2 linked regions of the Tamandua tetradactyla genome follow. Each later gene encodes a partner of the first gene's protein in a complex. Links are inferred from orthologs where the notes say so. Each region holds a gene or a part of one and is shown on either strand. Other genes may lie near its edges.

Region 1 (7,017 bases):
AACTGCAGGAGATGATTCCTTGGTCACAAAAGATCTACTGAAGGGTCACAATACAATTTTAGGCTTTTCCTTCTAGCTACTCCAAGACACTGGTAACTAAAAGAAATTCAATATAATGATTCACCAGTCATACTCACTCATTAAATCCTATCGTCTCTGCTATAAACCATACCAAACTCTGAAATCTGTTATACAACTAATTGTTGTGGTGTGCTTTGAAATTTATTGCTTTTTTGGTATATGTTATTTTTCACAAACAAAACAAAACAAAAAGATTTACTACAGGAGGAGGGAAACAACAGGTATCTCACACCTTTTGAGGTAGTCAATATTCTGGCTGTAAATTGACCCTCCAGATACCCTGAAGAAGTAAGAGAAGTAGTGCCTTTAACGGCAGATATAAATGTTGCTGTCTCGCTGGGGGGAAAATCCATTATGGATTAGTACATCAGCCTCATGAGAAGTTAGTATAAATTTAACCCCTAGAAGCCCAATCGATTATAAATCCAATTAGATATCCAATTTCTAGTCTAGCAAAGCTTTAAATGTGACACTAAAACCCTGTGCCCCTATCAGAATTTGTCTTCTGAGATACACCCAAGAAGATCCTATACATCCTCTGTATTACCACTGTCCCTCATACATACTTGTATTATTGATGTGACACAGATTCAGAAATATCCATTTACTTCTTGGCACCTCCATTAGTACTTCTTGAAGATGGGACCATACCTTAAGTCCTAAAACGTTTACTAAATTTAGAACTAAAACATGCTGAAAAGATGTCGAACTTCACTCCAGAAACATGAAATAAAAGCATACTGAGATAAAATTTCTGACTTATTAGATTGGCAAAGAGCATGAAGTTTATTAACACTCAATTGTGAAGCTACAAGGAAGAGACACTCTCTTACATAGCAGGTGGGAGTGTAAACTAGTACAACCCTTATGGAAGGCTATTATGCAATTTTATAAAAATTACAAACAGACAGGCCTTTGACCCAGCATTTATTCTATGTCCTGTGCAAACTATAATTCGTTACAGCATTGTTTAAAGTGGAAAATTTAAGAGGCAATGAAAATGTCAGTTCATAGACAAAGAGTTGAATAATGAAGACATGGACATACATATTAGGCTGCTAGAAGAAAGGGAAGACTGGAGGGAAGGTGGGAGGAAGGAAGGAATAACTCTTACTGGACTGATGTGGAATTACCTTCAGTTTTTATTATCATGGGGAAGAAAACAAGGAGCTAACCAAGCATACACAGTACATGACCATTCTGTAAGTACAATTCTATATGCATAAAATATTTCTAAAAAAACAAACTGGAGACACTGGCTGCAGAGAGAAAAAAAGAGCAGGTGATTAAGCTAAAAGAGTGACTTTTCATTGGATCCTCCCTTTTGTATTTTCTGAACCACATAAATGTATTACCTATTACAGAACAATTTTTAAAAATTTTAAATCTGAATGCCTTATGACTATGTGACCCCTGCCTGTGAAGTCTAACCACCAGTGGCTCAACCGCAAACAGTTCTCATTTTCCTATCTTAATGTACTATGAGAAGATTATATACTACAAACTATAAGGATCACACATTTTGTCTTCTTCAGGGACACAGGTCTTTTTTTTTCCCAGTAACTATCCTTTGTTACTATGTTTTACTGCACTTTTTACATTTTTAATACATTTTTTGTATCCTTTAAATTGGATATCTTTGTATCTTTATTGCATTACCTTTGCATCTTTACTATGGTATCTTTATCTCCTTAACAAATTTCTCTATTAGTGTTGTGATAGTTCCTTCATCTGTTGAGTAAAGTTGGTGACATTTTTATCCTTTTACAACGCCCAACACAGTTGTCTTCAAGTGCATCAAATAAATCAGAAGAATTAGTGAAATGATCTTAATCTAACAGGGGGACATTCAACAAATATCAAATAAAGAATCTCATTATAGGTTAGCGAAAATATCTCAACACTGTGCGGTCGGTCATCAACTTGACTTCTCAAGATAGGTTCTTCATTGAAAATAGGTAGATTAAAACAAATGTAAGCCAGAATAGAGAAAGAAAGAAAAGACAATGACAATTTTATTTCTCCCTTTCCAGAAAAATGGAATGACGTTCCTAACAGCAACATCAGAGTAAAACTCAAGGAAAGAAGAGGTCCCAAATCATCAAATGAATGTATTAAAAAATGCAATGCTCACCTGAGAAAGACCACCCCAAAACTGTCTGAAGGCCCCCAAACAGCTGATAAGTTTTGTTTTTTCATCTTCAGGCGTATCCATAAACATACTAAAAAAAAAAAAAATTAATAATGAGATTATTTGCCACTAGCTTTAAAAAAAAGTGAATTCAACTTAACCAGGATAGTCTATATTATAATCCTCCAAGACGAACCTAAGTCGTCTTACAAAAGCACCCTCATGTTTTTTACACAGAAACCTGCCATGCACTATACTCACCCAGGGAAAGCCTCTTCTATAACTTCTGTTTTCTGTGGGGGTTAAAAAAAAAAGGCAAACACGTGAACGATGTGAATTAAAAAAAAAGGAGTGGGAACTGGGGGGAGCTCCCCTAACGATTTATTACAATGTAGCATGACAATCACCCCGATCAGCGACGCAGAATGTAACAATACTAGCCAGGCCTACCACAAAGGATGTGTGGATTTCAAAAGAGACCCCGAATGACAGCACTTGACAATCACAACCTCCTGCACACATACATACTCCGTGTGAAAACAAGGGGAGGAGAGCGAAGCGGCTGCCCAGGCCGGGCTCGTGGGTCCGCGGCCCCGCTGCTTTCCCCACCCCGACGCGTCGCCCTGGGTTCCGGGCCGCTCCACTCACCACCACCTCCTCAAAAATGCTCTGCAACTGCGTCTCCATCTGTACCATTGCCCACGCCTTGTGGGGCGAGCGGCTCCCGGAACAGACGGCCGAGGGGCTGAGACGCCCGAGGAAACCTCAGCTCGCCCCGGGTTTCCTCCGCAGGTGCCCCTCCCCGCGCGTCTCCTCCCGGCCCCGTAAACAACCCGGACCTGCACGGAAGCTGAGAACAACCCGGTGCGCTCCGATGGAGGAACTCCCAGAAACTACGAGCCGGCCAGCCAGTTCCGCCTGTGGTGAAGGGCGGCCCGCGAGCCGCACAACAGCGCCCCCCAGAGGAACCTCGAGTACAAGTCACTCGGAGGCGTCGACGGCTGCGGGGCGCGCCCTGCAGGTCAGAGTGGGAATTACTTCCTGCTCCGGGTTAACGCTTCTGCAAAAGGTAGAAAAAGGGGCGCGGGGGGGGGGGGCATCCTGGAGCTCCGCGAACAGCGGGTGTTGAAACCACACTTTTTCTGACGACAAGGACCATGTTGCTTAACTATGGTGGCCCAGGTGCCCGGACTCAGAGCTGGCTGTAGGCTTTCGATAAAGATTGAAAAAAAAATGAATAGCTATCATTTTTAGTTATAATCATCTAAAAATAATTGCCCTTTATTCAATACCTGCAGCCTCTTTATGGGGATAGGAGTGGAGAAAGGTCAAAGGTAGGTTGATCCTCTGGAGGTCAGAGCAGAAGGTAAGTGGGACCGCTTCATTCCTTCAAATAGTTTAATTTTTATACCTTCATGAAGCTAGCCTTGCTCCCCTAGAGGTAAGTGATTTATCCTCATCTAACATCTTGTATGCACCCGTAGCAGAGCATTCCACTTACGCAACACTTATCCTCCCTCTGCTCAGTGCACTGGTAGGTATTTTAATAAATTGTATTGAAATAATTGATTTTGCAGTACATTCAACCCAGGAAAATAACAGAGCCTGGGTTATTAAAACCCAAGTTCTCTAATAATCTATTGTTATTTTCTTTATGGAAAACAGATTATCTGTATTTCAGATTATCTTTAATCATACTTTAGTTCTAGACAGTTTTCACCTATTATGTGGTGAAAACTCTACCTGCTAACTAAATCAGTGTATTCTTGGCAAAATGTCAACTAATCTTAATATTGACCAAGGCTTCTGTAATTACAAAGGTAAAATGGTCAGAAAACAATTCCTTTTTTGCCATAACCAAATGCAAATTAATGTTGCATTACGCTTGCTAATGCTGCATTCATTGAATAAAAATTGACTATCCATTTCCAGACCTACTTAATGTGTTTTTCCCTAATACTTTTAAGATTTATGTATAATTTACATATAATAAATGCGTGAATTTTAAATTGTACAGAACCATGAATTTTGACAAATGTTCGCACTTTGTGTAACTATCACTCAATCAAAATATAGAAAATTTCTATCACCTCAGAAAGTTCCTGGTGCTCCTTTGCAGGTAACTCCCCTTCCCAGAAGTAAACAGTTTTCATTTCTATAACCATTGATTCGTTTTGCTTGTTCTTGAAATTTATATCATTGGAATCCTACAGCATGTAATCTTTTGTGTCTGCCTCCTATCACACAACATTATATTTTGAGATCCATCCATATTTGTCATTGCTGAATTGTCTTCCATTATATTTATATGTAGCTATTTATTGATTCACCTTTGATAGATATTTAGGTTATTTTCAGTTTTTGATGATTATGAATAAAGTTGTTGCAAACATTCTCATACTAGTCTTTCTGTAGACATATATTTTCCCCACTGTTGGGTAAATACCTAGGAGCAGAATTTCTGATTCATGTTTATGTCAAAGCATATGATTAACTTTATAAGAAATTGCCAAACGGTTGTCCAAAGTGGTTGAACTGATTTGTCTCCCACTACTATTGGAGGAAAGTTCCAGTTGTTCTGCGTCCTTATGGACATTTGGTGTTGTCAGTTTTTTTTTTTATTTCAGTTGTTCTAAGTGGTGGGTAGCAGTATCTCCTTGGGGGTTAATTTGCATTTTCTGATTGACTAATGATGTTGATACCTTTTCATATCTTATTGGCCATTCTTTTGTGAAGGGTCTGTTCAAGTTATTTGTCCGTTATTAATTGTGTGGTTTCTCTTATTGTTATTTATTTGTAGGCGTTCTTATATAATCTGTATACAATCCTTTATCAGATATATGTATAGTGAACATTTTCTCCCAGCCCTGGCCTGCCTTTTCTTTTTTTCACTTTTTACATTGTATAATTTATATACAAAGCAAAGAAAGAAAAAAGGAATAGTTTTCAAGTAGTTGCAGGACAGATCCCAGAGTTGGTCATGGGCTATCATACCATCATCTCAGATTTTTTCCTTCTAGCTGCTCCAGAACATTAGAGACTAGAAGGAGTAAATATATTTTTATCATCACAATTGACTTTTTCTTTTTTGTGAAAAATGACATATATACAGAAAAGCAAAAAGTTTCAAAGCACAGCACAACAATTAGTTGTAGAACAGATTTCAAAGTTTGGTATGGGCTACAATGCCACGATTTTAGGTTTTTACTTCTAGCTGCTCCAAGATACTGGAGACTAAAATACCAATATAATGAGTCAGCAGTTATACTCATTTGTTAAATTCTACCTTTCCTGGATAACTCAGCCATCATCTTTGAACTTTCTCCCACTCTTTAGGGGTACTTGGGCTATGCTCATTCTAACTTTTTAATGTTGGAAGGGGCTGTCAATAATATGGAGTAGGGAGATGGAACTAGCTGATGTTCTGGAGAGGCTGGGCCCTCTAGGTTTCAGGACTTATCTGGTCCAGGGACCTATCTGGAAGTTGTAGGTTTCTGGACAGTTTTCCAATTGCATGAAACTTTTGTAGAATCTTACATATTGCTCTAGGTGTTCTTTGAGATTGTCTGGAATGATTTTAGTTGGGATTTGGCAAGTTATGGTAGGTAGCAATGTCTAACTGAAGTTTGCCTAAGAGTGACCTCCAGAGTAGCCTCTTGAATCTCTTTGAACTTTCTCAGCCACTGATCCCTTATTTGTTCCACTTCTTTTCCCCATTTTGGTCAGGATGACATTTTTGGTCCTACAGTGCCAGGCTAGACTCATCCCTGGGAGTTATCTCCCATACCACCAGGGAGACTTTCACCCCTAGTTGTCATGTCCCACGTGGCGGGGAGGACAATGATTTCACTTATAGAACTGGGCCTAGAGAGAACGAGGCCACACATCTGAGCAAGAAAAGAGGTCCTCCAGAAGTTGCCTTTTCATTTTTAGATGATATCTTTTGATTAGGAAAAATTTTAATTTGATGAAGTCCAATTGAAAACTCTTTAAATTTTATGGTTAGCATTTCAGTGGCCTAAGAAATCTTAGTCTACTTTGAGGTCATGAAGATATCCTCCAGTTTTGTCTTTTTTTTTCCTCAGAGGATTTATGTTTTAGCTTTAATGTTGAGGGCCATGATCCATCCTGAATTAATTTTTGTAAATAGTGTACAGTAGGGGTTGAGACTCATTTTTTTCCATACGCTTATACATTTGTTCTAGTACTGTTTGTTAAAACAATTTTCCTTTCTTCAGTGAATTTCCTTGTATTAATATAGGTCTAATAGGTTTCTGGACTCTCTCCTAATGTCAATATCACACTGTCTCAAGTACTATAATTTAGTAAGTCATGAAAAAGGATAAGGTATTTTCTTCAACTTTTTTTTGAAGCTCATTTTGACTATTATAGATGTCTTTTGCATTTCTGGAATCAGCTTATCAATTTATCCGAAGTTGGGAGGAAACATACTGGTATTTTGATTGGAATTGGATGGACTCTGTAGCACAGTTTGTGGGCAGTTTATAACTAAACAATACTGAACCTTTCAATCCATGAACATGATAGATCTCTCCTTTTATTTAGGGCTTCTTTAAATTTTATTGGCTCTATTTTGTGGTTTTCAGTACACTAGTCTTGTATATCTTTTCTTAAATTTATTCCTAAATATTTTACACGGTTTTTGGGTGCTATTTTAAATAGTATTTTTAAGATTCTATGCTCCAATTGTTTGTTGCTAGCATATACAGATACAGTTCATTTTGGTATATTGACCTTTTGCTGTAAATTCGATGATTACAAGGCAAAGCCAGGTAAAAGGTAGG
Region 2 (7,226 bases), on another chromosome or scaffold:
GCAAGGATTGTTCAATATAAGAAAACCAATTAATTAACAATATTAATTAACATTAACAGAATGAAGGGAAAAAAACATGATCATCTCAATCGATGTAAAGAAGGCAACTGACAAAATCCAGCACCACTTTATGATGAAAACACTCAGAAAGCTAGGAATAGAAGGAAATTTCTTTAACATGATAAAGGACATATATGAAAAACCCACAACTAATATCATATTTAATGAGGAAAAACTGAAAGTTATCCCTCTAAGATCAGGAAAAAGACAAGGATGCTGGCTGTCACACTGATATTCACTATTGTACTGGAATTTCTGCCAGAGCAAATTAGTTAAGAAAAAGAAGGAAAAGGCATCAAAATTGGAAGGGAAGATGTAAAACTTTCTCTATTTGCAGATAACATGATCCTACATACAGAGAATCCTATAAAATCTACAACAAAGCTCCCAGAGCTAATAACTGAATTCAACAAACGTGGTCGGGTACAAGATTAACACACAAAATCTAGTAGTGTTTCTATAAACTAATAATGAATAATCAGAAGAAGGAATCAAATATCTAGGAATAAAGTTAACCAAGGATGTAAATGAATTGTGTATAGAAAACTACAAAGCAATGCTAAGAGAAATGAAGGAGGACCAAAATAAATGAGAGTATATTTCATATTCATTGACTGGAAAACTAAATATTCTTAAATGTCAACTCTACATTGACTTACAGCTCAATGCAATCCCAATAAAAATTTCAACAATCTTCTCTAGGGAAATGGAAAGGCCAATCATCAAATTATATGGAAGGTTAAAGTGACCCCCAAACAGCCAAAGCAATCTTGAAAAAGAACTAAGTTGAAGGACTCACACTTTCTGATCTTAAAATTTTTTACAAAGCCACTGTAATCAAAACATCTATGGTACTGGCACAAGGACAGACATATAGACCAATGGAATCAAATTGAGAACTCAGAAATTAATCTTCACATCTATGGCTAACTGATTTTTCACAAGGGGGCAAAGACTACTCAATCAGTTAAGAAGAATCTCTTCAACAAATGGTGCTGGGAAAACTAGATCTCTATTTACAAATGAATGAAGATGGACCGCTATCTCACACATCATACAAAAATCAACTCAAAATGGATCAAAGACTTAAATATAAGAGCCAGAACTATAAAACTCTTAGAAGAAAAAACAGGGAAGTATCTTCAAGACCTTGTATTAGGAAATGGTTTCTTCAACTTTATACCCAAAGCACAAGCCACAAAAGAAAAAACAGATAAATGGGACCTCAACCAACTTGAAAATTTTGTGCAAAAGACTTTATCATGAACATAAAACAACCTACCCAATGAGAGTAAACATCTGGAAACCACATATCCAATAAGGGATTAATATCTGTAATATATAAAGAAATCCTTCAACTCAACAAATAGACAACCAATCCAGTGTTAAAAATAGGCAAAAACTTGAATAGACATTTCTCTAATAAATAAATGGCCAAAAATCACATAAAAATATACACAACATCATGCGTCATCTGGGACATGCAAATCAAAATCATGAGACACCATTTTACACCCACTAGAAAGGCTTCTATTAAAAAAAAAAATCAAACAGAAAATTACAAGTGTCGGAGAGGAAGTGGAGACACAGGAATACTCATTCATTGCTGGTAGGAATGTAAAATGGTGCAGCCACTATGGGAAGACAGTTTGACAGTTCCTCAGAAAGTTAAGTATAGAATTACCATATGACCCAGCAATTTCACTACTCGGTATATATCCCCCAAAAATTTAAAGTAGGGATTCAAACTATTTGTACACCGAAGTTCATAGCGTCATTATTCATACTTGCCAAAAGATAGAAACAATCCAAGTGTCCACCAACTAATAAATGGTTAAACAAAAGCGGTTTATTCACACAAATGAATTTTATTCAGAATAAGGAATGAAGTTCTGATACAGGTGATAAAACTGATGAACCTTGAAGACATTATGCCGAGTGAAATGAGCCAGATATAAAAGGACACACATTGTATGATCAAACTGATATGAAATAATCAGAATAAGCAAATTCATAAAGTTAGAATCCAGAATACAGGTTACTATGGAATGCGGTGGAGGTAGAGAATAGGGAATTAAGGCTTAAACTATAGAGGGTTTCTATATAGGACAATGCAAAAGTTTTGGTAATGGATGGTGGTGAAGTTAGCACAACATTTTGAATGTATAAAAGCAATGAATTAGATATCTAGTAATGTAATTAAAACGGGAAATGCTATGTTGTATACATGTGGTTAATTTTTTTTAGTTCAAGGAACTGCACAACATAGTAAACTGTAAGTTAAGCCATCGACTACAGTTAATAAATTACAAAAATGAGCTTTCGTTAACTCTAACAAATGAATCATACCAATGCAAGTTTTTAATAAAAGTATTTAATACGGGAATCCTGTATTTTATGCATGAATCTTCTGTAAACTCACAATTTCTTCATTAAAAAAAGGTTCGAACACCAAGAACGGGTCGCCTTGGTGTATTAGTACCGATAACGGAAAAAAAAAAAAAAAAGATCTGCTTCCTACCCCCCTCTTCCGCCCCCTTAGAAGAGAATCCATAAACACCACTGACAAGAAATAAAACTTCTCAGAAAATTTGACAGGACCCTGGAGCACAAGAATCATAGTGGACTGCTGGGAAGGAGAGAGATCCTACGCTTCCCCTTCTCACTCTACCTGTTCCCTCCAGGAGCTCTGCGCAAAGCCCCCGCTGCCCGCCTCAATCTTCCCAGAGTTCCGAGGGGCCTCCTGCCATCCTACACTTTATACTGAGGCACCGCCTTCGTCCGTCCCCACGTCCAGGTTTATTTCTCGGGCCCTCTTCCTCCTTTGCTTTACCTTAGGAAAGGGGTAGACAGAGACAAATCTAAAGAATCCACTCACCGAGTTCACAGCATCTTGCAGCTGCGTGAGCCGATCCGCCATGTTGATGGCTCACGTAAAGCGACGCTGCAGCCTCTGCTCGTGCGCGATTGGGCGGCGCTAGTCGGGTCTTGGCCAATCACAGGGTGAAGTTGTCAGAAGAGGTGGAGTCGGAGTGCTCTCTGGGCAAGACTTTCTCAGATTAACTTTAAATTGATTCAGCTGGAACTCTTTTTGAGGAACTTGATGACAGTTCGGAGTCCGATTAGCTAGTAGGGCTGAAACTCTTCTCGAGGTTGTTAGGTGTTAAACACTTTGTGGCGACTATGGGACTCGGTGGGGGGCGGGGGTTTAAAGCATTTTTTTCTACCCTCCGCCACCATGTTTTAATTTTATAACAGCGTCTTAGACTACTTATTTTACGTTACTTTTATTTTCCAGGTGGACCATAAAACATATACCCAGCATGCAACTCCAAATACTTGGGAGTCACGATACCGACTTTAAACTCAGAAAATCCAAAGTAAAATTCACTAGACAACCGGGAAGTTCTGGTTGGAGTCCCTCCCTTGTTGTGTAGGGTCACGGAAGGGCTTAGCGAACTGGAGACTGGGTGCAAGCTGTTCGCGTTAATTCAGCGTGTGGGTGTACTGGGGAGTCTGACGCACGTGAAATGGAAACCGTCCAAAACAACTGAGTACTAGGCTGTATTGACTGTTAGAAAAGTACCGCGTAGTGAGATCTCCATGGGCTAAGGTGAGGCGTGAGAGAAGAGGAGGGTCGGTGGAGAGGAACATGGAGGTTTTACAATGTGTAGTCAGAAGAGGAGAGTTTCCTGGAAATAAGCGAGATTCATAGGTTGGGTAGGTTGCATTTTTAAAAGATACTCAGCGCAATTTAGACTCAGAATAGAGACCTATTTAAGTGTGAAGAGAGCTAATGTAAATTTGTTATTTAAGGAAAGTTATCCTGCAAGGGCTTGGGGGATAGCCTGAAAAGAAATGAGCCTAGAATCAGCAAATAACAGCTTTGTGGACTTTGAATAAACTCAGATACCGTCTTTCTCAAGGATTAGGCTGATTATCCCTGATTACCCTCCTAGGGTTGGAGGAGGGTGGGGGAAACAATCAATTGGGTAACTCTCTTGCTGGATTTATCCCAACCCTTGCTCGAGGGCTCGTCTCTGACTTTTCCTGGCATCTCACTCTCCATCCCTAAGCCTTCAAAGTTCCTGTTGGGGCTTTATTAGAAAGTAGGTGAGGCGACTCTTTCAAAATGGGGCTAATGAGCGGTGACTCTAGTTTGTTAAGAATAGTTTGGGGGGAATCTGTGACTTTTTTTCTCCTACCTGGTACAATACATGTACCTTATTGAATGCCTGCCGTGTGCCAGATGTGTATGTTGGGCGCTGAATTTTCAAAGATGAGTAAACCAGGGACTCATTAGGAGGAAGATTTTGCAGTTATCCAAGAGTGGGATGAGTTAAATTTAAATTAGGATTTTAATTCTGGTAAATGAAGAAAGGAGGCTAAAACATGTTTTTGAGGAAAATTTAACATGGATTGGTGATTGGTTAGATAAGACGGGATAAATGAAAGAATGCACTAAATGAGAATACTGAGTTTTTCAGCCTGACTCATGAGAACTTGGGCTCCTGGAGTAGAGGAGCCTCTTCAAGATAACTCATATTAGTACACACCTTGCTTCTAGATTTTCAGTTGCCTTGCAGAGACTACAGGTTGAAGACAACTATTTCTACCCGATTTTCAAGGTTTGCTGTAATCCAGCTCCAGCAAAGAGATCCAGCCTCACCTCCCAATCATTTTCTGAGTGAAATAAACCTCTGCTTCAGTCAAAGCCCCTGAATCCTTGTTTTCCCCAGTTTTTTTTTTTTTTTTTTTTTTTTTTTTGGCCATGGGCTCTGTTTTATTTTTCCAACTGCTAAAACAAACAGCATACAATGGGTTGGATCAAACAACAAGAATTTATTGGCTCAAGGTTTTGAGGCTAGGAGAAGTCCCAGATTGAGCATCAGCAAGGCAATGCTTTCTCACTGAAACTGTGGCATTCTGGGGCTGGCTTGTCTTTTCTCTTCTGACCTGTGGCAAATGCACATGGCAGCATCTTCTCCTTTCTCTCTGGGTTCTGATGTTTTCCGGCTCCTGTGGCTTCTTTTCCATGTCCAATTTCCTTTGCCTTTAAGTACTTCAGCCATACTGGATTAAGGCTCATTCAGTTCAGACACACCTTAACTAATAACAACTTCTGAGGTCCTATTTACGAATGGGTTCCCACCCATAAGACCAAGAGTTGGAATCTGAACATGTCTTTTGTGAGGAGGACGTGATTCAATACCTAACAGGCTCTTTTTTTTTTTTTTTTATGCTACATAACCACATACAAACACAAACATTCTTGTCATATGAACATTCCATTCTTGCTATATAATCAATAACTCACACTTTCATCACATAGTTGTATATTCATCATCATGATAATTTCTTAGAACTCCTGCATCAATTCAGAAAAAGCAATAAAAAAAACAGAAAAAAATTCATACATACCATACCCCTTACCCCTCCCCTTCACCAATCACCAGTATTTCAATCTACTAAATTTATTTTAACATTTGTTCCCCCTATTATTTATTTATTTTTAACCCGTATGTTTTACTTGTCCATCGATAAGGTAGACAAAAGGAGCATCAGACACAAGGTTCTCACAACCACACAGTCCAACTGTGACAGCAGTATCATCATATAGTTATCTTCAAGAAACATGGCCACCAGAGCACAGCTCCACATTTTCAGGCAGTTCCCTCCAGCCTCTCCATTACACCTTAACTAAATAGGTGATATCTATTTAATGTGTAAGAATAACCTCCAGGATAACCTCTCGACTCTTTTTGGAATCTCTCAGCTATTGACACTTTGTCTCATTTCGCCCTTCCCCCTTTTGGTCAAGATTTTCTCAATCCCTTGATGCTGAGTTCCAGCTTATTCTAGGATTTCTGTCCCACGTTGCCAGGAAGGTCCGCACCCCTGGGAGTCATGTCCCATGTGGAGAGGGGGAGGGCAGTGAGTTTGCTTGCTGTATCAGCGGAGAGAGAGAGGCCACATCTGAGCAACAGAAGAGGTTCTCTTGGGAGTGACTCTTAGGCCTAATTTTAAGTAGTCTTAGCTATCCTTTGCGGGGTTAAGTTTTATGTGAGCAATACCCAAATTGGAGACTCGTCCTATTGCTTTGGCTGTTCCCACTGCCTGTGAGAATATCAAGAATTCTCCCCTTGGGGAAGTTGAATTTTCCCCCTTTCTCACCATTCCCCCTAGGGAACTCTGCAAATACTTCCCTATTCACTGTTCAAATCGTTCTGGGATTTATCTGGGCATCACTCTGGCAAACCTACAAAATCTCATGAACAGCCTCCTTTTTAAAAAAATATTTTTATTGAGCTATCTTCACACACCATATAGTCCATCTAAAGTATACAATCAATGGCTCACAATATTGTCACATATTTGTGTACTCATCACCATGATCATTTTTTAGAACATTTGCATCACTCCAGGAAAAGAAATAAAAAAGAAAAACCATAATCCCCATACCCCTTACCTCTCCATATCACTTACCACTAGTATTGCAATGTACCCAATTTTTTAACCCCTTATTCCCCTTTTATTATTTATTTATTGTCATTTTTTTACTCATCTGCCCATACCCTTGGAAAAAGGAAGCATTAGCCACACGGGTTTCACAATTACATGGGCACACTGTAAAAGCTGTATAATTATATAGTGCTCTTCAAGAATCAAGGCTACTTCCAATGTTCTGGAGCAGCTAGAAGGAAAAATCTGAGATGATGGTATGGTAGCCCATGATAAACTTTGGGATGCTTTGAAAACTGCTTTTTTTCTTTGCTTTGTTTATGTGTTATACAATATTAAAAACAGTTTAAAAAAAACTATGTTGTAAACAGCTATACGTAAATAATTCTTGAGGAAGATCTATCAGCAGGCATGTCTACTGTCATAATGCTATTAAAAAGCAACAGCTTTCTTACCCTAAAAAAAATACACTGTGAACTAAAAAGGGATATCTATATAATGCATAAAAATAAACACTAGGATAACCTCTCGACTCTGTTTGAAATCATTTGGCCACTGAAACTTTGTTTTGTCTCATTTCTTTCTTCCCCTTTTTGGTCAAGAAGGTTTTTTCATTCCTATGGTGGCAGGTCCCAACTCATCTGAGGGAGTCATGTCCCATGCTGCCAGGGAGATTTACACCACTGGGAGTCATGTCTCACATA

Evidence for each region. Proteins that work in one complex are often made in the same cells at the same time.
Region 2: MED23 (region 1) and MED21 share a complex: the UniProt entries of both Homo sapiens proteins name them as parts of the mediator complex. The link is inferred for Tamandua tetradactyla from reciprocal best matches to the Homo sapiens genes MED23 and MED21.

Annotation. Positions count from the first base shown.
Region 1 is NC_135351.1:31,606,236-31,613,252, forward strand, and holds the start of MED23 (mediator of RNA polymerase II transcription subunit 23), read right to left. Parts: upstream 3,046-7,017; 5' UTR 2,909-3,045; coding exon 2,861-2,908; intron 2,506-2,860; coding exon 2,474-2,505; intron 2,304-2,473; coding exon 2,216-2,303; intron 1-2,215. UniProt on the Homo sapiens protein: Required for transcriptional activation subsequent to the assembly of the pre-initiation complex. Component of the Mediator complex, a coactivator involved in the regulated transcription of nearly all RNA polymerase II-dependent genes.
Region 2 is NC_135333.1:90,067,848-90,075,073, reverse strand, and holds the start of MED21 (mediator of RNA polymerase II transcription subunit 21), read right to left. Parts: upstream 3,031-7,226; 5' UTR 2,981-3,030; coding exon 2,939-2,980; intron 1-2,938. UniProt on the Homo sapiens protein: Component of the Mediator complex, a coactivator involved in the regulated transcription of nearly all RNA polymerase II-dependent genes.